Neodiprion lecontei: one gene and its partner. The protein of the gene in region 1 interacts with the protein of each later gene in a pairwise test. Links are inferred from orthologs where the notes say so. Each region holds a gene or a part of one and is shown in the gene's direction. Other genes may lie near its edges. The genes, in order: moesin/ezrin/radixin homolog 1 and rho GTPase-activating protein conundrum.

What was found.
Region 2: the proteins of moesin/ezrin/radixin homolog 1 (region 1) and rho GTPase-activating protein conundrum interact in binary tests that used the Drosophila melanogaster proteins (3 or more experiments, as listed by UniProt). The link is inferred for Neodiprion lecontei from reciprocal best matches to the Drosophila melanogaster genes Moe and conu.

What each region holds. Positions count from the first base shown.
Region 1 is NC_060262.1:27,734,614-27,747,352, reverse strand, and holds the start of moesin/ezrin/radixin homolog 1, read left to right. Parts: upstream 1-5,307; 5' UTR 5,308-5,692; coding exon 5,693-5,713; intron 5,714-7,343; coding exon 7,344-7,523; intron 7,524-12,739. UniProt on the Drosophila melanogaster protein: Involved in connections of major cytoskeletal structures to the plasma membrane. Together with wgn, involved in control of axon targeting of R8 and R2-R5 photoreceptors, independent of egr.
Region 2 is NC_060262.1:807,004-819,681, forward strand, and holds the start of rho GTPase-activating protein conundrum, read left to right. Parts: upstream 1-4,526; 5' UTR 4,527-4,545; exon of another isoform or gene 4,546-4,646; intron 4,647-5,115; exon of another isoform or gene 5,116-5,281; intron 5,282-5,287; exon of another isoform or gene 5,288-5,635; intron 5,636-5,914; 5' UTR 5,915-6,008; coding exon 6,009-6,150; intron 6,151-6,503; coding exon 6,504-6,745; intron 6,746-6,850; coding exon 6,851-6,978; intron 6,979-7,069; coding exon 7,070-7,266; intron 7,267-7,401; coding exon 7,402-7,567; intron 7,568-7,685; coding exon 7,686-7,851; intron 7,852-7,924; coding exon 7,925-8,102; intron 8,103-8,176; coding exon 8,177-8,343; intron 8,344-8,420; coding exon 8,421-8,598; intron 8,599-8,679; coding exon 8,680-9,030; intron 9,031-12,678. Other genes in the region: uncharacterized protein LOC107222649, read left to right, coding at 1-169, 253-515; uncharacterized protein LOC107222650, read right to left, coding at 1,763-2,280, 2,429-2,564. UniProt on the Drosophila melanogaster protein: GTPase-activating protein (GAP) for Rho1; functions with the ERM protein Moe to regulate Rho1 and control proliferation in the developing epithelium. Recruited by Moe to the cell cortex where it negatively regulates Rho1 activity.

The sequences.
Region 1 (12,739 bases):
CTTCCTCTTCTCTATTTCGCCTTCATTGATCCGAGCCGAGCCGCCTTTTGCTGTTTCTTTCTCCTAATGTCATGATTCATATTCCGTGACCTTTTGGCCGCTGAGAGCTTACCTGCTGCTGTAGATAGGTGATCCGAGAGCCCATGTTACACGCACCTGTGTCGAAAGCGTAGGATAATCCGTATCCCCCTCATACGAAAAAGTCGATGACGATTATATGTATATATTATTGTAAGTAAACAACATAGGTATAATGTGTGTGACTAGGAGAAGAGCTTTCGCTGTGCCTGAACGGACCCTTACAATTACATTGAATCTGACATGTTCGAGACCACCGGTAGTATCAGTTTCCCATGTTAAACGAGTGGTAGCGGATTATACCGGTGGCCTTGAATGTGCCGGAATGAATTTAAGGGTCTGTACCTGTGACGTTGAGTTGAAAAATAGACCCTGCGGAAACACATGTCGCGTTAAAATTTATTTAAAAAATTATATATTTTTAGCGAAATACTTTTACGGACTAATGATTATTGAAGTTAGTAACGTTGGAGCAACGAAACCGAGATTGAAAAACATGCTATTTTACGGGAATTGAATTTGCAAATACAACGGGTTTTTCATCGTGTATTAGAGAGATGAAACGGGCACACCTGACAAATACCGGTTGGTTGGTAAGAACCGCGCTTACATTAGTGTATAACGTGCATGTATCGCGTGTATGCAGCCTTAACGATTAGAGAGAGGAAATCGAGGATTCTAACGCGCGCGAGCTGCGAACGGTACGAAAAGTTTTCGAAATTTGTAATCGCAGAAACGTACTTAATTGCCTATGTGTACGCTGAAACCCGGTTCACTGAACGCAGTGGGGCACAGATAAGCCTCCGAGACACGTAGGAAGGGGCCTTCGTCGTCCCGCTGTATACATATATAATGTACCTTGGATCTCGGTCACACGGATTTGCATTTATAAAATTCAAAACTACGACGACGACTCGGTCGAGCCGCTCCGAAAAGATGCGGCGCAGCACAGTGACCGAATTATTTCGTTCGGCATAATTGAGTGTTTGAATGAAAATTTTTTTTCCATTTTTAGGGGTGCATAATGCGTTTGAAGCCAAAATAACGAGGACGTGTTTTTTGTTTTTCGTTAAGAATGATAATTTTTCATGTTGTACGTGATTGAATTTCATTGATTTTAATATATATATAGATATATCTTAACATGGGTGACGTCACAATGTTATAGTTTTCAATCTGTTATATTAATGGCAATTTTGATTCAATCGAAAGAATATAAATTACGTCCAAAATATTTTTTTCCAATCTACAAGAATATGAAATAAAAAAATTTCATTGAAATACTCAATTCACAGCAAAACTTTTTAATACTGCAATCACAAATAATCGTGATTATTCAGCAGCCTTGCATCTGTTATCTTATACGACGTGCCTAATCCTTTGAGGGGAAAAAACAATACAATAAATTACTGACCCAAAACTTGTCGATCGGATGATGCTTTCAACTTAATAATTTGACAGAAAATTTTCGAGGCATCGTGTAAAATGGTCCTTTCTTTTAAACAGCAAATTATGTTTTTCCATAAGTCTCTCCCATTTTCAAAATCAATTAATCGATGAATGTTCAACGGGGTTTGAAGAACATTTTCATATATCGAAAATCACCTCGGGCATGATCCAATTTTATAGTTGGAAATGAATATGAAAATTGCCGAGATGAAAACACGGCGAAACTGTACGATACGTACTTGTGGTAAAAAAAAATTAGCATAAATAAATAAAAATAAAAGGGAAGTAAAAACGTTGCGAATCGCTCGGGATGTCCGACAATGAGATTGACGTTCAATAGTGAAGAGTCATTCCCGTGCACAGGGACGAACCGAGCGGAACATAACTGAAATTTGTATCGCGTGCGAGCGGATTCCGATCCCTGCGGTTCATCGGTAATTATTTATTCTCCTGCATCAAGCATCGGCAACCTGTACTTGCCTGCCGCGTTATTGTTGTTCGACTATGTTTGTTATCCAGTCTGTGATGTAACTCTGCAACAGTGCTAATAATTTATCTGTTTCAGGCTGACAGTTTCACTGCCTAGAACGAGCCCAGCACAGCTGCCAAGATGCCGAAGTCGGTAAGTGTGTGGTAGAATAACGGAGACCAGATAACGCGTCCACTACTCTTTGCCATTGTTATTATCAATGTTAGGTGTTCAGGGTACTAGAATTAGGCCATTTTATCGCGCTGTAAAATCACCTCCTCGACGACGATTTCCTTCCTCGCACTAATTACGAAATAATCTCGTTATCTCTGTCGGGACAAGGACGTCAATCGCTTATACCTATATTCTCATTTCCATTTCTGTTTTAAAATGATTTTTTTTTTTTGATTTTTTACCGTGTCAATCCATTCGAATCCTGTGTGCTACGAAAGTTTGTTTGCAATGGTATACTCGAGAAAATACGAGGACAAATGTCTGAACCAATCAGCTTTACTAATTGTAATACAAGTCCTTTTTGTAATAGGTACTATTTAGACGAGCGTTGTTTTTTCCACGTGAAGAATTATAGTATTAGAAACAAGGGCGTTTTTTTTATTCTTCTTAGGCAGCAGTAATTAATTAATAAGTATAAAATTATGTAATATACGTTGTTTTTCTTTTACTCCAGCAAGATGTTAGGCCGCGAAACCTTATTGCACACAGGTTTGTAATTGAGTTTTCATCTCCTGTCCAATCGGTTCCGTAATAATATGTATAACCTACACATAAAACAGACGACAAGGACAATCTGATCGAAGCGATTCTCGTTTTATCGTATGAAAATTTTTTTCCCTTCTCACCTACTTAGCTGATCGTTATCGTTGCAGGTTTTCAATCTCAATCGATGTTTGCAAATGTTTAATCAATGCATTTTATCTTTATACCGCGTCGGTAACTGAATCTTGCAGATATTTATAATACATATCGTATTTGTAAATTCTGTTTCAAATTGTCTTGTATTTATATAACAATGGGAAAAATCATCATCCGCTTGGACGATGACGATAATAATGTCTCGCTGTATATTATCGTTACACATATTTCGTTGCAATAACCTAGTTTGATAAATAAAAAAAATATTTATACATATTACTACAAGACGTATATTATATTTTCTGAGGTGTGAGACACTTTGAAGGCAAAAGCGGGCGGTTTCTACCTGAGATAAGATATCGTAGAGTTGACGGCACCCGTTCTTCTTCTTTGATGAAATTAATTATAAGCAGATTTATCAAAGTACGACAGGAAAGAATGAATTTGTTTAAAGTTTTCCCCGCGATTATTCGTCAGACCAATAATCCATTTACCTTCCGCATAAAACGACTCATTTCTGATATGTACATTATCTGCAAATGACTCAGAATTCGTCATCTTGCCACCGGCCACGAAGCGAAGGAATTTCATCGGAATTCTTTGCAAATGATGAATGAAATGTATCCGCATGTTGAATATTTTTTTTTGTTATATTACGAATTTCTCGCAAGCCTTATCGGTTGTTTTGCCTTTTCGCCAGCTCGTTGCAGGCGTTTGTGTAGCAAGTTTCAAAGCTGGGCAACGTCGTGAGTTTTGCAAATGTTGTGACGTATGCATCATAATCGAAGCACGTACGTTACAGCACCATTTACTTATGTACTACGAAGAGACAGAGACCGCCGACAGTTTATTGCTCGGTAGCTGGATTGGTTGAGATCAGACAATTCAATAGTTGGTGACAGAAATTTTGAAATTTAACTTTGTCGTATACTATATCAGATCTGTAATGGCATAACGCCAGGTTAAACTCGCATTATAGATGCGTTGTATCCATAAGTATAATACATTTATACTTTCATTTCGCATACTGATATGTGTATAATGTATAATAATAACACGCGCGAGAAGTTAATGGAAACAGGCTACGGTTTCCTTTTCAAGACGAGATGCCGCATTTAACGGTGACACCTTATCCCGCTGCTATGGTGTGAATCATTCACGTATCAGATCTATACTCAATTCGCTGGAGAGTCATGAGCTGAATTAAATACATATGACGATAACTCATTTCGCGTCTACACACCTATATAGGTAGTATACATAATGACGTTTAGTAATGTCCATGACGCGATTTTTAACAGTTTGTAGAATCCGGGGTCTAGATCTCGACATTAAATTCGAATCATTATATGTATATAAGCATCGGTACAATGCTCCTATTCCAACGGGACAGTGCAGGGTTTTGTGACGGAAAATAATACGGTTATTTTAAAAAATCGGATCTACGCATATTGATTTTTATTTATTTTTTTTTTCTTGAATATACAATCGAGAAGAATATTTTTACTTGTGATGCAGGGATGTTTACTCAGATCGATATGTTTGACTTGGAATAATGGATCGAGTAAATTGGAAACGTACAAGCTCCGTGAACTAAACTTGTAGAGATCCATAAATAAAAATGATTTTTTTAAAATACATCTGATAATCTAATTCAAACGCCGGCAGAGACTTGAGATAGCTGCCGTTATATGATTATTGAAGTTCGTGACGTTAATATAACGATGCATTTTTTGAGAAAATGTTATTCTGCAATATGAGAATTGTCAGTAATATAATATTGTTATAGTTCACAGAATTTCAAACGATTTTTCGCACGAATGCATCGTTTCGTTATCGTTACAAATTTCAACCTCATGATCCAGAAAAGTCGTCTAAGGACGATATTTAAGTTGTAATCTGCATGTACTGTAAAAAAATCCACCACTTCAATTGGTCTGAACTGAAACTAACCCGTGCCTTAACGTTCCGACGGTAGTCAGATTCTAAAAATTGACATTTAAAAAAAAATAATCCGCGACAGTATCGTCAACATAATGGGGGAAAAAAAAGACTAGAATCGAACAGTGTAGGCAAATCAAACAGGTGGCGCGTGTTTTAGAAAGAAATTGCAATTCTGTCGATAATTCAAATTTGATCGTCGCATCAAATTCGTAACTTGAAACTAATCACGTCCGCACTTTAGATTCTTTTTCTTATCTTCCGGGGTGGAGACGCATCTTTGACGTCGTACGTACTCCGTCGTTTCTTCTTAAATTTCAAGAGCCGCTCGTCGTTCCCAACGAACAAACGAACGTCGACGGCCGAGGGGATTGGCCAACCTGCATCACTCCTATCCCCACCTCGACCGGAGAGAAAAAAAGCCGGCGGTTAACCGGCGTCGTCACGTGATCAAAGTCTTCTTTCTTCGTGTTCGAACGGCGAGAAGTTGGGCGCAGTTTGTGTTCACCTCATCCGAACGATTGATCAAGCCTTTTGCTTTCACTGCAGTTTCGTTTTCAAATAGTTTTTTTTTTTCTCAAATCTTATCATTGTCGCGGGTTTTATCAAGTGTGGGGGGTGAATTTCGCGTTCCTGGATTTTGCTTCTTTTTTCGAAAGAGGACAAGGTGCCGGAGAAGGAACTGAAAGCGAGAGTGTTCAATAAAAGTGGTTGTTCGGTTTTTTTTTTTTGTGTGGATAATTTCAAACTCGTGCATCCCTGGATAATTATAACATCTGACAATCGACGGATATCGGTCTCTTCAAATTTTTACTCCTCGTTTTGATACCTGTGGCGTAGCGTCGTCGATCCGTTTGCTTCTCCTTCGGGATCTCGTCTACAATGGTGGCCGGTGCTAAAATGGTACGATTCAACGAAACTATGTACACATTTATGATAGAAAATAATTAAATCAGTTTAATCGATTACTCTGTAATAAGGTAATGTTTAAAATTCGATTTACCTGATTACTCATCGAGCTTGCATTCTTCCGTTACACGCAATTAATGCCTGATTGTTACACAAACGGGCGGCGTTATTTGGAGCGCAATTAATGCCACTCGTTTCTACCGGATGTATAAGGAATGCTGTACACAGTTACTCAGTTTTGTATGACCAGGGAATTATCGAATCGATAATTATACAGGTGTTTAACTTTTTTTCATCGATAATGGTGCGGAAGAAAATATTATTTGCATGATTTTGACAAACGAAACGGCAATTCTGATCGAATTACAATATGCTGCAAATAAAATTTACTCGGAAATTTAGTCACTTTTCTTTTCCAACTTTTCAACAAGATTCGTATTAATGCGGGACGAAATGAAATTCGATATCCACGAATCAGACTATTGTAATTATTAACGACCTAGAAATTCATTGTTGCTACCACGCATCATGAATCGGGGAAAAAAGAAGGAATTCCTGCGTGAGAAAATCAGTATGGTGCATAAAGGTGCGTGTTATATACACCTTTATAGTCTCGAGGAACAAAAGAAGCCTCAATTTCGTTCTCACGGCAGCTTCAAGCTATAACATACCAGCGTAAAACTGCTTCTTTCATTTTGTTCGGCGTAAAGTCCACTCAAGTTTCATATGTAACGTACATATATATCATATGCGTAACGCCTTTCCATCGTATTATCAAGAATTCAATATCGCTTTGCGCCTATTAACATATATTTTCTTGGCGACAATTAGCCGAGGCGTGCACATTAACTACTTAGACATAAAATCTGGGATGCCATTTACTTCCGCGTTAGACGTAAGAAATGAATTAAAAAAAAAAGAAAAAAAACGCAGGTAATAGCAGCAATCAAGGTTCGAAGATGTATAAAAGTGCAATCGCGTGTAAATGGCTGCATGACGATGGTCAAAACTTACCTATATATGCGGTATACTTGTATTAGTTTTTTTATTCGCCGATGTAGATATAATTAGATGCGTGTATTTCTGTATAGCAGATCGTTGCGTAACGTATAATAATTTCCAATTATTCGCCAAGATGCATTTCGTAATAGCTGTTATATACGAGTCCCGTATTATACCCGCCAGCAGCATTGAAATCTTACGATTAACAATCGTGTGGTTATATTATATGTATAGGTATTACCTTGTGGCTATACCGCTGTGGCTTTAGCTTCTCGCCCCGAAGGCCACCTGTTGTACTCCGAGAATTCTCTTCTTCTTCTTCTTGCTCTTTAGTTCTTACTGTTTATAATAATATATATATATATATATAGATATAAAGATATGTATTCTCGACATCGTAACATATTAAAAACTTTACATTTCTTTCGTGAGTTATAAGAAGTTTTTTGAAAAAATATTTGATCGATTTCAGTTTATTTTTACAACTGTAATACTTCACGTTATGCATTATTACTGCAGTATATGTCGTTACCAATAAAACTGTATTAAATACGTTTTAAGACGAACGTGGGGGAAAATTGAAAAAAGTATAATCGATTTTCTTTTTGTTCGTTGGAAACAGACGAACGTGAGGGTGACGACGATGGACGCGGAACTCGAGTTCGCGATCCAGCAGACGACGACAGGGAAACAACTCTTCGACCAGGTTGTCAAGACCATCGGTCTAAGGGAGGTCTGGTTTTTCGGTCTGCAGTACACAGACAGCAAGGGCGATCTCACGTGGATCAAGCTCTACAAAAAGGTAAGACCGAGTAATAAGATGTAAACTGTTGATTTGAGATTGAACCCATTACATCGATCCTGAGTGAATTTTCGTTCATCAATTATATACTTGGAAGTCTCTCGGAGATGAAATTCACTGGCTAAAACTACGCTTGCCATCGTATTCTTTGGCGTGAATGAACGCTTCGCGACCGACGAGCGTTGAAAATAATATTAGAGCCGAAACACGATCGCAAGCGTGTACCGCAAAGGCCGCCATCTTGATCTTGTGTCAGCGCACTGTTTGCTTCGTTTGTGTTTTGAATGATTGAAAAATATATTACACGCGGATACACACAGTGTTTTCATCTTCCAGGGTTTGAGTAATATTTTTTGTGAGTGAACGTACTCGAGCTTGTGCAGTGTTTTTACTGACAACTCTCTTTCGGTATTCAATGTATGCTAGAAAAAAAATACGAGCTTGTCACTCGTCTTAATCGGTAATTAATCAATCCGCTTCGATACCAACCTGCTACTAATGTGTATAATTGTCAAATTCCAAATCCCACGTTTATACATCATCAATTTTGATGACAATTATTATTTCTTTGCATGTATGTTTTTGTGATATAAACCTCGAAGCTACAACGCGTAGAGCTCGAAAATGATGTAATTTTACGGCGTAGCGTAATTGTACGGTAGTATCATACATTATAGGATAATGTTGTCTACATGAACTTTGTTGTGGTCTGGTGCCTGCGAGTGCAGGAAAAGTTGAGGGATTTTTTCAACCGCATGACCGACCGTTTCAATATCGACGATTAATTATCGATAACCTAAACGTCGTTTCGATTAACATCTCTACGTAACGCGATTGACAAACAACGTTTGCCCGCAGCGTCGCTCTTTGCAATAATAGTTTACGTATTACATATAATAGGTATACAGTACGAAAAGATAAATTTAGCTTTGAAATTTTCCTCTTAGTTGGAATAATACATAATTGGTATGTAAAAAAAACTTAAAACAGCAAAAATTGGAAGATTTTCAATAACTTTTTTTATTTCCATAACCAGCTGCAAAGAGCTGTTAATTGTTTATACGAAAACTTTATTAAGTTTGTAACGGTCACCTCAACACGAAACGAAACTTATTCTACATCGGCTGCAGAAGTTGGTGGTAAAAGTTTCGGCTCGCCTGTACATTCGGTGAAAAAATATTCTCTTGACGAGTATAGGTACCTAATGAAATATGTGAGCGCGGCGAGACTGCATCGGCCACAAAACCGGTCCATGTCACGTGGGATTTACCGCTTGTACGTACACGTACCGTCCTTAGGATCCAAATGCGAAGCCTATTATCCTCGCTTTTTCAAACCGTTAGAAATTGTTAGACGATAATTAACGATATTAATTTATTCTTATATTCAGGATGAAAAAACAAAAAATAGTCCGCTTTACACCTTGTATTATGTGATTACATGGACGCCACTTTGCCACATAAATTTGTAAACTTATATATTGTATACCTCTATACGTGTAGACGTAACACGCATCATGTCTGTGGATATATTTATAAAGAAGGCGAGAAAAAGTCCAACGAGTCCTCGTCTCTGCCGTTGGGGTTTCTTGAGATGAACCACTCTTCTCCACCGCGATAAGGAAAAAAAATGTACGTATGCAAGGAAGGAGAGAGAGAGAGAGAGAGAGAGGGAAAAATCAGAAAAAAAGAAATGACAAATAACACGTGTGGGACACTTTGTGATGTCACCGCCATTCTCGCCGGATACGTGCGTAACTATACATATATGTATAAGGTATATACATTATACATATCCACTTTACCTTATCTCTCCGCAGTCCTCAGCCCAGATTGCCTCGTGTCCTGAACTTCTATAACCATACGCGGCGCAAAGTGTAGTCGCCTAACTGCGACGAAAGAAAATCTCGGATCAGTAGGGCATTTTCCATGTCAGTTTGACGCCGGGTATTTTTGTCCATGAGTTTTGCTATTAATGAGAAAAAAAATTCTGATACTTGTCTAATTCTAAGATGAGACCAAATTTCATAGAAATTTTTCTTGAAACTTTATTTTCGCAGTTTTTCAGAACTCGACTAATTATTACTCATGTCTTTTTTTCCTGATACTTACGAATTGTTGAACGGTTTGAACTTTTCTTTAAAATGTATTTTACTGATTAACGTTCATCAAAGTCGGTACAGCAATAAATGTAGCAGCCAAGAAAAAAAAAAGTTTTTTTAACTGACGTACGTTTTTGTAAGTTCGAAGAATCCTTAAATTAATAATAGTGATTATTCCTAGACTCTGTTGAAACGATTAAAATGTAAAATTGTACACGAGTACGTATCTAGTGCAAAAAAAAAAAGAAAAAACACAGTAAAAAACCACACATCTTGCTGTATAATAAATGTTGTTTCCGTGTTTTATTCGCTTCAAGCCGAAGTGCTAGATTTTTATGCAAAATTTTCACGGTTCTTTCATATTACGTGATATCTCTCGATCGCAATTTAGCTGCCCAACTTTTTGTGTTTTTTTCTTAACGACCGTTTCGAGTTTCGATTCGGAACAAGATTAAACAATCGCGAATCCCTAGTTGCACGCGAATGTCGGTCGGTAGTCGTCATGGTTGGCGGCTTTCACTCGCAACGCACCTTCACCTTGACACAGTCGCGATTGTAGCGATGATTGTCGGTTTATTCGCTACTCTTCGAAAGCTTATGTGCACGTTATGCCTCGTATCACTAACAGAAAACGGTGACGTTTTATAATTACCAAAAAAATTCATTAAATTTTCTGGTTACGGTTCCAAAACTTGTTTTTATTTTGTACCAAAGAATAGATTTTTTTTATTTTCAATTTTATGGTTAAAAATGAAAATAGTTCAAAACTGTGCGGTTGCCACAAGTAAAAATTTCTCTCGTTGTAGGTACGCTACACACATTTGACCTATTAATTACGTAAGATCCTGATCGTCGACGAGAAATTAAATTTTATTCAATATGTCACGATGGTTGCAACAAGCATGAAATATATATATATTATTATATATATATTTATATATATATATTTATATATATATATTTATATATATATATATATATCTTTTTATAATATCCAAATTTGCATCTATGCAGATTAAAGATATTCTTTATCAGTTCTTTAAATCTTGCTTCGATTTCACTGGTTTTATGTTCATTTCTACTTCCATATTCATCTGCGCGCGCATCGAGCGTAACGGTTTTTTTCCCTTCCTTTACCTAATTCACCGCATTTTTCAATTAAGTACACACAATTATCTTGCGGTAATGGGTAAAAGGAAAACGGAAAATAGACGACAAAAAAATTCTTCGCTTCTTACTACAAGTTTTTTGAATTTATTTACCTCAGCTGCTACATAAGAATTATAATTTACAATAAAGTGACGCAGATTTTATGTACGGGACATTCTGCGTCAATTCGACCTCACTGTTCTTACTTTTTTTTTAATCTTAAAATTTGAACGAACAATAATATAAATGAACAAGAGATCGAACTAAAATTCCCAAGATTTTATTGTACATATTCGACGTATTATTCTATCCAAATACAGGGAATCTATTTAAATCAGGTAACTAGATTTTGCATTTTTACCTGCATTTTCAAGTCGGCATCATAACAGCGTCATGTCGTTTTTTTTTCTAAATTACGCAACGAGCAATTTGCGACACCAATCTGCCTCATTTAGCCTTCTACACTTATAATAATAAAACATATTTGTCTCTAATTAATACTTTGATCAAAGTTCGATCAACTACACAGTCAAATGCCCCGTTTTCAGTAGTAGTAGTATAAGCAGTAGTACTAGTGGTCGGTGTAATTATGCAAACAGGTGGAGTTACGTAAATAACTTATAACGTATGTAACTCATTTGATCTGTTCTGTTTTTCTCGATATGGATGTATAATTGTATACGACCGTTTTGTTCACATACCTATAACACGCGGAAGATATGCAAATTGGATTAAACGACGGAATTCAGTATTTTCTGCTCCATGGTGACAATTATTTATCTCGTCACGTAACAATAATATTAATTTCCATGAATTTATAGAGTTATTGTTACCGCAGTATAACAATTCTTCATATTGTTATTGCGTATCTTTACTATTTTCAAATTACCTCCATTTTCGCAATTTTGTGCGTCGGTTATTTATTTATTTTTTTTTTTTCTATATCCACATGCTACAACAGAAACAGAACGAACTATTCAGCCTGTCGAGTATAGTAAATTTTCAATCATATTTTGCGAGAATAAATATTTTCAATTCATCAGCGTTGGATTTAAGGCGACGATCGATCAAGATATATTAGAAATTGATAAGTAACTCGTACATTTCTGTATAATCTGTACAACAGTGACGTAAGTCGTGTAATAAATCTAAGAAAAATTCTTCTAGATTGTTATCACTCTTCGATTTTACCTTAAAAATACGTGCGGTGGAAGTGGAGAAAAAACAAGAAATTCACTAGTATATGTATAATCGGCTATAAATTCGAAATAGTTTCGTAAGATGAAACCGATGCAGTACCTCGTTATTCGTGTAAAAAACATATGTATACGCATATAACGAGAACATGTGTAATATCTCTTTATCTCGCGATCCTCGAGGCTCATCTTTTAAAATAAAACTCCATTCACTTACAGTTTGTTAATTCGTGGCTCATGACTCACGGCTTGGCCTCACCTGTATTTACAATCCTTTTAGATCTTTAGAATAATTTTTGTGGTTTATATGCGGAGGATATTATACTGGCCGTGACTTTGGATCAATAACAATTCCATGTATTCAACAAAATGCAGTTGGAAAACTTACCGACTTGTTTTCTGAGTTTTTTTTTGTTTCTCTGTTTTTAATTTTTATTCATGTATGCAAATTTATTCCAGCAATTTTTTTCCCCCCTGAAAAGAATAACGATAAACTCGTTTGTAACGTAAGGTACATCGGATGAACTTCGTTTATGCATATATAACTTTAAAAGCTTGATAATTCTTCGGAACGCTAATAAAAATTTTCTACCGACTTAATTTACAAATAGTGAGAATTCAAACTAAAAACTTATTTTTATCAGAATGAATTATAGCTTATGTTACTCAGGGATAGTTTAGCATTTCAAGAAGTAAAAGAATTTTTAAAATCGGTTTAGCTTCAGCGATTCACTTACACGCAAACGATTTTACCTCTTTATAATATCAGT
Region 2 (12,678 bases), about 27 Mb from region 1:
CTGCCCCCGTGGCTCATGGCGGTTCAGGGATTCGTCACGATTGGGTTACTTTACTCTTTCTCTAGCCAGGCAATAATCGCTCTAGTACTCATCAGGTGGCCGCTACAGTTCGTTCTCAGATACGAATGGATACTTAGCTCCATCGCCTGTGTGTTCAACGCAATAACTGGTCAGAATCTTCCCTACGATAACATTGATTGAAACGGTTGAATCTCGTCGTCGATTTTCTCAAACTTCCTGTTTTCTTTACAGCTGTGTCGTTGTTCATGGCCGTTTCCGTATTTGGGGGACAGTGCTGGCGCAGAGACTGGCTCATGTATCCGAACTTCAATCATCTTTCCTGGTCCTACGCTTTTGCTGTTATATCTTTCATGTTCCATGCTTTTGCCGCCTTCTTTCTATACCTCGATGCTCGCATGGGTTACAAAATGCGTGTTCAGTCACGCAATTTAGTCATGCAAATGCATCCCACTCCTCAGAGCCATCACGGCATGCATCGCACTGGTTATATATAAATTGATCATATAATCATCCAATAATTTCCAAGGAAAATTGACTCCGTCCATTTTTACACTTTATAAATAAATATACATATATATAACTATAAATTTTTTTATCGATAGTAATGATGCGTTATTTTTTAAGTAATATTTTTACGCACGATTTTAAAGTATTTTATACACATTTACATATGATGCAGTATAATCAACGGACGTTGATTCTCTGACAATTATGTATTAATCGTAAACAAATTTTTGTGTTTTTTCTGAATCAAGAATCTCTTGTATTAACACACTAGAGAGTCGAGACTATGGTGAGTGAGCGAAAAATAATATATACCTGTTTTAAACACTGGTAGCATAGATTAGTGAATAACTATATTGACAAAATTTTTATAAATTATTCATTCTTTTTATTATATTTCCTCTATGCGGAATTTCTATGCTTGAAAAAAAAATATACATACATAGAAAAATAAACTAAATTAATTTTTCAAACTAATATACATGTGTATGATACGTATACAAACATATTACGTTAAATATATTTTCGAAACAAGATTATTAATTTTTTATGGGGAAATACTATTCCGTCATCAGACTTGAGATGTAACTTAGCTACCCTACTTACAAATGTACAATGAGTATTAATACGAAAATACATATTGCTGGTGAGTAGCTTGATTACAAAATGAAAACATTATTTAGAAATAATTCTCACATAATATATGTGACAGAAGTAAAAAATTAATAACAGTTACACGAGTGTGTCAAATTTCAATTGAAAATGTTCCTGACATTCTTATTTACAACAAACTGTGTACATAATATATGAGACTCTAATGTTTTTTATTCTTGAGAAAAAAAATATGCAATAAATAAATAATAGATACAATATTTTTACATACGTGAGCACATGTACGACCAAGGTCAAGGCACATTATAATTATCACGTAACCGTCGAGTCAAAGCCTCTTGTAAATAAAGATTCAGTGCAGATCAATCAGCATGAAGCCAGTCGGGACTGTGATCAGGTATTACAGGCTAAGGCCTATCGTATCTTTTCAAAATTCTGAGCATTTGTAAAGTTCATCTTCCGAAAAAAAAAAAAAAAAAAAAAATAATGAGATAGAAATAAAAAGCAAATACTTGATATGTCTCAGATCTTGAAGTATAAGTAAAATGAGTACAAAAATATTTGTGCGTCACATATCCACATCACTCTCTTACTATCTAGCTTCTCTGTTACTATTTTTAAAAACCTAAATTGTAGTACTAGGCGTGTAATGTCGTTGCTGTATTATTTGTATCAAGGTAATTCTGTGCCTCCTGGCATCAGCAAAAAATAGGACACCTGAAAAGGTTGTAAATACACAGCTGATAGCAGCGAGGATGAAAGACCAGCTTAGAACGTTGTGCTCCCAGTCCGGCAGCCAGTAGTAAGCCTTGTCTTCGGTGACAAATATCTTAATTGCGATCATCTCGCAGACTCCGGCAAGCAACAAGATCGAGCCAGTTGCCTGGAGGAGTAGCTGGTACTTGTTGTGGTGTTGGGAACAACAAGTGAACAGAGTGGCCAAGCCGCCGCTGATGAAAAGCAGCGTCATGGAGAGAGTGAAGAAGAACTGCGCCGCAATAAAGGAGCTCGGCATCTTAATGTTGAAAGTCTCAAAGATGTCGTAGTAGAGGTCCTCAAAGACCCAGAAACAACCGTAGGACCTGGTCGACTCGAAGAAGTGTTTCATATCCTGGGGACCTTGGAAGCATACCTGCCAAAGTCCTACAAAAGGTGCGCATCGATTTTAATTGCCATTTACATTTTCCTCTGTAAAATGTGTCATGCCTCGACGATGGGTTCAGTTTCATTTTTATACTCAACTTATCATATATCGACGCGTTTTTGTCTGTTTTGTATCTTGCATACGTACCGATTTTTACTAATTTTGGCCTCTCCAATGTACCGTCTGTCTCTATCCAATTGGGTGTGGTAAACGCGATTAATAGGGTAATGAAACCTATCGCCGTACACAATACCGCGCATTTTCCAATTATCGTTTTTCCCATCTCTTTTTGCTATATCCTTAAGTACTAATTGCGCTACGAGACTTTTTCTTGCGCACTTTACTCTTATCAACAATACCCAATTTGCACGTCAAACACGCGCAGTGTCAGGACGCGCAATACAACCGTACTACTGTCGCGACTGTCGCTACGTACTACGCACGCTCGTTCATTCGATTCTCAGGACATGAATCAGTGATAACACCCAATTTTGGTTCCCAAGTTTAACGTAAGTGGCGCCAAACAGAAGCCTGGCACGAACAGTTATTCAGTTATTTCATCGTAATTTCGGAAGTTGGACCTTTCTTAGCGAACACAAGGATTAACGAGACAATGTGAACTTATCGCAGAATAAACTTCATCGTATTAACCTAATCACGAAATTTTCACAGGGGTAATCATCTTTCAAGTCATCTGTCAACGATTGCGCATTCAAAATCGCTGTGTACTTTAGGTTGCCTACAATAAGGCGCAACATATTGATAAGTAAGGATGCGAATAGCGACAAAAAGTATTCCGGTTCTCTTGTAATATATTCCGAATAGATTTTTTTGTGGATAAACAAAAAGCCATTTCATCAAAATTTCTATGATTTTTTTAATTGCCTCGCTTCTATTGTTTGTCCGTTTTATTTTTGCGACGTTGGATCACGATGATCCGTTGTGAACAATCGTTGATTCCTTTTCATCAGTTCGGCGGTATAGTCTTTTTTGGCTTCTTGAATCTCGCGATATGCAACTGACTGCGTGTACTTAACAACCTAAAAGAGACAGTCGTAATTCAGAAGTATTAAACAATCAATTTCGCATCGTGTATAAGTCAGTGAACGGGCGATGTTTTATTATTATCTCTTATGCATCGTACTTGGTTGTGAAAATTCAGATATTCTGCGATTATACCGCAACCGATAATACCGCTCAGTCCTAATAAAAAGAACCTCTGTCTCCGCAATTTTTTAATGTAAGCTGGTGACTGTTTTTCGTTAAACATGCTGCTCGTGATTGAAGATCATCTATGAAAACAAACACGATATTGTACAAGGAATAAAAAATAAAATGACACGTCCAGCATAGGGTTTGAGCGCGTTATAATAATATTACGATAACTCACTGGAATGTTTTCAAATTTCTGCAAACAAATCAAAGCTTCTGATAATCATTTTACCTATCACATAACTGTGACTCGTAGTATCCACTCCGAGTAATGAAAGCATTTAAAATTTCAATCGAAATAGTGTGACAATATTCTTGGCCATATTTGTGGGTCTGAAGTTTGAAGCAGGTACAGAAGTGAAGATAGCATATATTTATTTGACAAATGTAGAAATTCGTCACAAGAAACTAAACGAGCTGTTCCATTCAGAACTGTAATGTCCGCGCAAATGGTCTACTATGAGTTTGCATTCAATCAATGTTTTCGAAATTAGGTATCTGAGAATATTCGTTTCCATTTTCGCCATTCACAAGCTTGATTTGAATTTCGACGACATGACACAGGTTGATACCAGGCTAGAATTTTTAATTTTCATTTGAAATTTAGAGAACGATTTTTGCAAAAGCATTTGATAATGAGACGATGCATCATATGCAGCATATTAAAATTCGACATTAATTTGACCCAATTCAAACTGATTTTTGTATAATGCTTCAGCACAGATCTTCCGAATGAACAGTATCGCTTAAAACCTATCCGATCGAGTAAATCCTTATTCTGCCCTGCGATAGAAATGGATCAACAGATGACAAATAATGTTTTACGGTAAGGTTTTAGCATCCAAGCTTTCTGAATTATGTTGAAAATTAGTTCCAAAAACGTGTTTCGTGTCAGATATAGATCTACTATATCGGCGATACGAAAACGTTTTTCCGGAGGGATCGGAGAAGAATTGAAAAACAATCGCAAGATGGCACTGAATGTCACATTTGAGAAAGAATATCGGAGTGGCGCAGGTGCCCGAGGAGTCAGGTGCCATTTGAAAGAGTTGGTAAGTGAAGTATCCGGCTGCGTTAATACGTGTGGGAACGTGAGTGAGCAACAGGTGACTGGATGTCAACAAAGTGAAGTTAATTAAAAATCGCATGGCAGGTAAATTTGGCGGGCGCGCGATGCGAGCTCAATGAATTATACCGCGATGTTTCTTGTCTATCTGTAATAGAAAAATATAAAAATTAACTGGTGAACAGAAGAGTAAAGAGCGAAGCCAGCGAAGCTAAGGAAAAGAGAAAACAATCATGCATATGCGCGCGCGCACGCGGTTATTATATTATTATGCGTGAGTAAATAAATAACAACGACGTATGCACGATACACGTATGTATATTAAATTTTATATGCACGTAACGCGCGTCGCAGTTCGCCGAGAGCACAAGGCTGAAGTTAGTAACGTTTACACAACGCAACACGATGGAAAAAATCGTCGCTGTACAATTTTAGAACGTCTTCCAAGGAATTTGCTTAACGAAATATGAAACATGTTTTCTTTGTTACGAATATTAACTAGCTGAATTCCGCACAAACCTAAGGATCGAAGTAATGATTTTTCCTAAATGTAGATCGTTAAAGTAACGTTACTACCTTCAACCTCGTCCGAGAGATTGGATAGTCTGCCGTAAAATTCCGACACGCTATCAGAGAGACGCGGTGACGAGTGGGAGGAGAAACCGAGGAAACGGAGCCCAACTGCCTCGGTCGTCTGCCTGGCATTAATTTCTCCGCGATAAGTAGTCAAATAAATTTCTATTATTTACACCGCAGGCTGGGTGTGCCGCTTGCCTCCCCTCGTCTTTCGCCTTCCCGCCCGTCTGCCCACGTATTCGCATTCGCGTTCATACACGGGCCCGGATTCCTGTGATCGACACCTCGAGTCGTCATTGCTTTCCTTATTTACCCCGATAAAACACCTCTGCCGTCATTCCCCCTATTGTTCGCGCCTGCAGCGAATAACGGGCCTCGACGTTCCGTAATTAGGCTCGTTATACCGCTCGATGAGACCTCGCGATGATCAGATAACCTCACTTTAAACCATCGGCTATTTTCCTCCACTCCCTCCGGGATCTGTCATACGCTGAGGTTAGGTTGGTTTCGTTCTATTATCGTTACCGTAATATCGTAATATTATTGTTATTATAACATATCTTATGCTGTTTTCGATTCTTTCGCAGTAATGTTTTTAAGACATCTTGTTACGGGAACTACAGAACCGATGACTCTTTCAGAATTTCATCCTCAGCCAAGTTACTTATCTAATCTAGCAATAATACAATGATTACAATCCGGATAGAAAGATAGTCTCCAATTGTCTACTAGGAAAACTAAATTCACTGTAGTACTGACATTTTTAATCCTATTTTCAGGAATTTTATATAAGTTGGAAACAAGCTTGGATGCGGACATTCATTGATGCAACATTGATGCTCGTAGACAGTTGCAGACTCCAATTGCACCGAGATGGATAGAGCACACGGAGCGACCTATGGCGGGGGTACGGCCAACCTGCAGGAGTACTGGGACGAGTATAAAAAAATGATCGAGGAAACCAAAGTACTGGATGATTATCTGGACGAGGAATACGGACCTCGTAGTTACGACGGTAGGAATCATGTTTGGAATATCAATATGAATTATAATATAGTTATAGACAATATTAGTCATGTACCTTATAGCCTGAGGCAAGGCCGTGTCTGAGTCATTATAACTTCACCGTGCTGACTCTTGTTATTTGATCTAGTTGAGGTGTATTTCATCGACAATGCTCCATTTAGCAAAGTGAATAGTCAGCAAATGCTGAGGAGACCTTGGCAATGTTGATGAGAAAAAAAAATGAATGTGATAAAAAATGGATATGATATAAAAGGAAGAAAAAAAATATTGTTTCTATACAATTATAATCGGCCGTTTGATATTCTTCTGTTGTTCGTTATTTATTTTTCAATTTGTCTCAAGATGGGGAAGAGGAGGCTGAATGGTTGCGAGCCGCTGGACTTGGGGAATTAACTGAGCCGTGGAAAGCTGGGAGGGAGATTCAACCTGAACAACTCGGCGCAGTTCTTCGTCCTTTGTCCAGGGCTCAGGCTGAAGCGGTTCGACGTCGTGTCAGATCTCTGAACCACACGGTCAAGCAACGATTCAATCAAAAACAGCGAGTTCGGAAACCGGATATTAGAGACGTTTTCAAAGATGTCGAGGTGTGATTCCAGGCCTAATTCAAAAAATACTGAAATAATCAATCCGGAAATTAGTTACTGAAAAGCCTTCATAGCTTTTACTTTGATCCGTACAATTAACCTCAGGTTTCAAGCACGGGCACCAGGTCTCGCAGTGCGACACCAGATTCCCTGGATTCAGTACTTGGGGAAACATTGGAGACTGCTTTGCCGCCGTCACCGCCTAGAGTTACAGTCGACGTTCATCAGAGCAGGTAAGCTGAGTGAATAAAATATCTGACGTCTTTTAAGTTCACTGGCCACAATTTATACACATAAACATCTGCATTTTTGTTTTACTTTCAGCGAAAATGTGCCGAGTTTTGTATCAATATTCCACCGCCCTTTGACTGAGGAAAAAGAAGCTGTGCGCCGATTACCTAGTGCTCCAACGTCCATTTCAAATCAGTCAACACATCCAGCTCCGTCTCCTATTCCTATTCAGGAAATATTCAGAAGAGCTGGGAACTGGTCGCAGAAAGGAGACGTTGCCGGAAATTCGGGTAGGTTTACATTTGTTACACATATTTTGCAAGAATCGTTTAATAAAAAAGACTTCCTGTTTCACTGCGGTTTGTAATATAAACTTCGAAATCAAGATGAACATTTCACTTGAGTAGAAAATCTTTTTTATGCAGAGGGAATAGAACTCACTGCCTACCAACGTCTTGGCACTATTCATCTTTCGAGACCAACGATACAGAGAAGAAGCGGTAGCGATCCGAGTGAAGTCGCAAATACTGCTCACCTTGATGTAGAGCCTGCAGGGAAGCTTTCAGCAGCTAAGGAACACGCTACTCTGAGGTATTGCCATGTGATGATTTGTTGAAACGAAACTCACAGAATGTGCGATACTCTTAAAAATTTAGTGAAAATTTACACAAGTCACTAATCATTTTTTTTTTTTTTCTTCCAAAACCAGGAGAAGCTCCGGAGGTCATGCGACTGTGACGCGGAGTCATAGTAGTTTGTATGGGTTGAGCAGATCTGGGGACGAGAATTTGATCACGCATCCGCTGAACCGAACCGCGTCCCACGGGCACCTGAGTTTCGAGGAAATGTGCAGAACCAACGAAGCAAAGTCCCAGGTGAGAGAAACTGATCTCAGAGCAACAATCGAGCCGAAAATCGTTTGAATGTAAACGTTTTTTGGCTCTTCAGGTCTGGGGTTCGGAGGTGCTTGCGGTTGATGACGGATATCCGAAGTATGGAGTGGAGTTACTGTCTCAGCGAGACCTGACCAGACTTAGGTCGCTTCTGTGGCTTGAGCTCACAGCCGTTTTCGATAAGTACAATGTTCCCTTAACCAAGAGAAAGCCCAATAAACGCAGGAGTAAAGGTAAGTGGTTTAGATAATTACGAAAGAAATTGTTTTGACTTCAAGTTCGAGTGGTTTTATCAAATTTCTTTCAGCAGGAAATTTATTCGGAGTATCTTTGTCCACTCTCCTGCTCAGAGACAGCCAATTGACCGCCGACGAGAGCAACGTTCCGTTGATCTTTCAGAAGCTCTTACACGAGCTGTCTAAACGAGGAGTTCGGGAAGAGGGTATCCTCCGCGTCGGGGGACACAAGCAAAAAGTACGAACAACGTCGAAGTACTCAGGGGTTTGAAATCGAATAGTAACGATTGGTAACAACTCGTCTATTGTTTCTAGGTTGAAGCGCTTTGCGCGGAGTTGGAGACTGACTTCTATTCGAAATCTAAGGAGATCGATAAATTACTGCGACGCACACCGTGCCATGATCTTTCGGCGGTGCTGAAAAAATTACTCAGAGATTTACCGCAGCCTCTTCTCACTGTTGAACTTATAGATGCTTATTATCAGAGTCACGGTTGGTACCTGAAATTACGATAGGTGCGATTTAGGGTGCGATAATGTTATTTAATCATGTTTTTACCGTTTTGTGTTTTAGGAGTGAAAACTCCTGGCGAACTGTCGTATTCGCTGAATCTTTTGGTACTTCTTCTACCAGTCGAGCATCGTTGCACTTTAAAGGCACTGCTGAATTTCCTTAAGCTGGTCATTCACAATCAAGGCTCAAACAAAATGTCAATTCACAACGTGGCGATGATTGTCGCCCCGTCTCTGTTCCCGCCTCGTTATATATATCCGAGGGATCAGTCCGACCTAACAGCCCAAGTTAACATGGCCGCTGTGTGCTGTCAAGTGACAGAAGCTCTTCTAAACAATGTTGATAACCTGTGGTACGTTCCTAACGATCTGATTAATCAACTCCGTAGACAAACCGAAGAGGAACGGTACCGTAAGTATAAAAAGAAGTACTACTAAATCTCAGGTACGCGTCCGTCAAGTCGTCGATATGATGAGTTTCAAAGGTTAGACTAGGAGATTGGTTGTAGAATATTTTTCAAGTATTTTACTTTTTGTTTGATTATTTACTCCTTTGTTTTATTCACTTTGGTGCCTAAAATTAGAATAATCGTTACCATGTGTTTTCACGGCATTCACGGCCTATCCCGTTGTAGCACGTAACCGGTAATCGTATACGTACCTATATCAATGATGAAATAAATCATTAAGGATGCATTCAGTTCATGCGAAAAATGATGCAATTTTTTTTCTTTGTTTAACATTATTTTTATCATAGTTTTTCGTATGTTTTCTACAATAAAACGACTAACGAGGTTAGCATAGAGATATTGCAGAACCCCTGATAATATTGTTTTATGCTTCAAAATAAATTTCAAGAGAGGTTTTTCACTGTTTATGCTAAAATCGCAAACTGACTGATCAAATCTTGGGAACTTTTCGAAAATCGCAAAAATATATGTACAATATGTTGTATATTTTGACCAGCCAGTAGAATATCGTAATTTACAATTATATCATAACGAAAATAAAAAGTAACTTACAGATCTTTTATGCTGAGTTGTATAAGGAAGAATAGTTGTAAGATCATTAATCGTTATCATTATTTCATACTATTTATAGTTTTTATTCTTTTGTCGGGATCTTGATAACATTAAATATTTATATTGAAAATTGTTGGAGGATAAATAGTTTTCGTTATTCTCATTTATTTATTTTGTTGCTTCTCCTGTATTTGTCACAGACTGATTGGAACTGTAAACTGGCGTTTAATGGGAATTACCGATATTTGTTTCAAAATTTATACTCGATAATTTGCAATTAATGTAGATCATAAAACCTAGTACTTAATTATTCTCAGTTACATATTTACGCGTGCTATAAATTTCTATGATTTTATGTTGTTAATATTTATTATTTTATCACTTTACTATTATGTATATTACATAAACGTATACACAAAGACAAAATACTGTTTCTGGCTATTGCTCAATTCATCTTTTCGCGTAGCACGAAATCATATTCTCCCGTATGTGTTAGAGTCGCTTTCGTTATTAATCGTATTCTTGTATAATCTGATCGCAGAAGTTTCATAATACAGATTAATATTGGCAGATTATTATCTTTTTAATTTTTTCGGTTTTCTATTTTTAATTGGTTCTGTCAGACTTTTATTAATTTTTTCGATCAATATTATTGGTTTCCCTTATTCCATCATGCGGTTTCTTTCCCCTACGTGTAAGAATTGAGCGTGAATGAGATCGATGTTTATGTTACTAGATAGTAACACTACGAAATTGTTGTATAAGGTTTATATACAGTCACGTAATAATATTTGAGTAGTTTTATTTATTCGTACAATTGTAATTGTACAGTCATATAACTATCGAAATTCCACGAGAATTGTACACGATCCGGTTGGACAGGGATACTAGAATGATTAAGAAAATGAATACGTTTACTTTATGAGTAGACGAAAAGAAGGCGTATCGTCTAAATCGTAAATCGCTTTACCATCATACAATTGCAGCAGGCTTGCTCTGAATAACTACTGTACTATACCGTTTCAACGAACAGGAAACTATTTTCTGACCGGTTGGACTGCTTGAATTTCGTATTAGTTATGGTGACATTTATCATTATGACTATAATGAAAATGTTTGATTTCTTCCCTTTTAGGTACCTTCTTATAAAAGTATGTTTTCAAGTAGGCATGATTGTTGGACTCTCCGTACTTACCCCACATTATTATCTCATTGTGACTTGATATGCGCCATATTATTGTAAGGATCTGTAAATACACGCATTCGTTAAATATTATACATACACCCTATACTAATAAAGTGCCAAAGAAAATACTTGTGCATTTGCTTCGTGTAACCATCCTATCCTGAGTTTTATCAAGTTGAGATTCTGTGGCATCGATTCTGTCCGACGAGTATAACAATGTGCTCGTCGTGCAAGAGAGAAGAAATCCTAGTATTCCTTGAAACTGTTCAACTTTCAACTCGGAAAATCTAGAAGTGTTACCCTTGCTGTCTTACGATATTGATGTCAGGGGATTTTTGGTCGCGAATTCGATTTGTATGGTTCTTTCCTGACTATTTGGACCACGAGAAACTCAGAAAACACAGTGAAAATAGCGTGGAATCGGCAGGAGAGAAATAACGAAGGAAAAAGCACCTGCTAAAGAATGTCGGAAAAACAGGTTCTCGTTTTTCGGCTCTAACTTTTGATGCGTTGGCGCAGCGTATTGGGACTGCGCCAAATCGATTCCTGTCGCAAAATTATGTCGAAATAGTGCATGAAAGAATTTATTCCGGCACTTTTGAAAATCGCGAAAATTTTCGCCAAAAATGGAAAGGGGTTAGCCTTACTTTTTTTTTGGGCGAAAAACTTTTGGTCTCAGATTCGATTTAAATGACCCTTATCTGACCAATCGGACCCTCAGGAACTCAGAAATCGCAGCGAAAAGAGCGTAGGACCAACAGGAGAGAAATGGCGAGGGAAAAAGCACCTGCTGAAAAATGTCGAAAACACAGGTTCTCGTTTTTCGGCTGTAACTTTTGATGCGTTGATCGCAGCGTATTGGAACTGCGCCCAATCGATTTCTCTCGCAAAATCACGTCGGTATAGTGCGCCAAAGAATTGATTCCAGCACTTTTCAAAATCGCGAAAATTTTCGTCAAAAATGGAAAGGGGTTAGCCTTACTTTTTTTTTGGGCGAAAAACTTTTGGTCTCAGATTCGATTTAAATGACCCTTATCTGACCAATCGGACCCTCAGGAACTCAGAAATCGCAGCGAAAAGAGCGTAGGACCAACAGGAGAGAAATGGCGAGGGAGAAAGCACCTACTGAAAAATGTCGAAAGGACAGGTTCTCGTTTTTCGGCTGTAACTTTTGATGCGTTGATCGCAGCGTATTGGAACTGCGCCCAATCGATTTCTCTCGCAAAATCACGTCGGTATAGTGCGCCAAAGAATTGATTCCAGCACTTTTCAAAATCGCGAAAATTTTCGTCAAAAATGGAAAGGGGTTAGCCTTACTTTTTTTTTGGGCGAAAAACTTTTGGTCTCAGATTCGATTTAAATGACCCTTATCTGACCAATCGGACCCTCAGGAACTCAGAAATCGCAGCGAAAAGAGCGTAGGACCAACAGGAGAGAAATGGCGAGGGAGAAAGCACCTACTGAAAAATGTCGAAAGGACAGGTTCTCGTTTTTCGGCTGTAACTTTTGATGCGTTGATCGCAGCGTATTGGAACTGCGCCCAATCGATTTCTCTCGCAAAATCACGTCGGTATAGTGCGCCAAAGAATTGATTCCAGCACTTTTCAAAATCGCGAAAATTTTCGTCAAAAATGGAAAGGGGTTAGCCTTACTTTTTTTTTGGGCGAAAAACTTTTGGTCTCAGATTCGATTTAAATGACCCTTATCTGACCAATCGGACCCTCAGGAACTCAGAAATCGCAGCGAAAAGAGCGTAGGACCAACAGGAGAGAAATGGCGAGGGAGAAAGCACCTACTGAAAAATGTCGAAAGGACAGGTTCTCGTTTTTCGGCTGTAACTTTTGATGCGTTG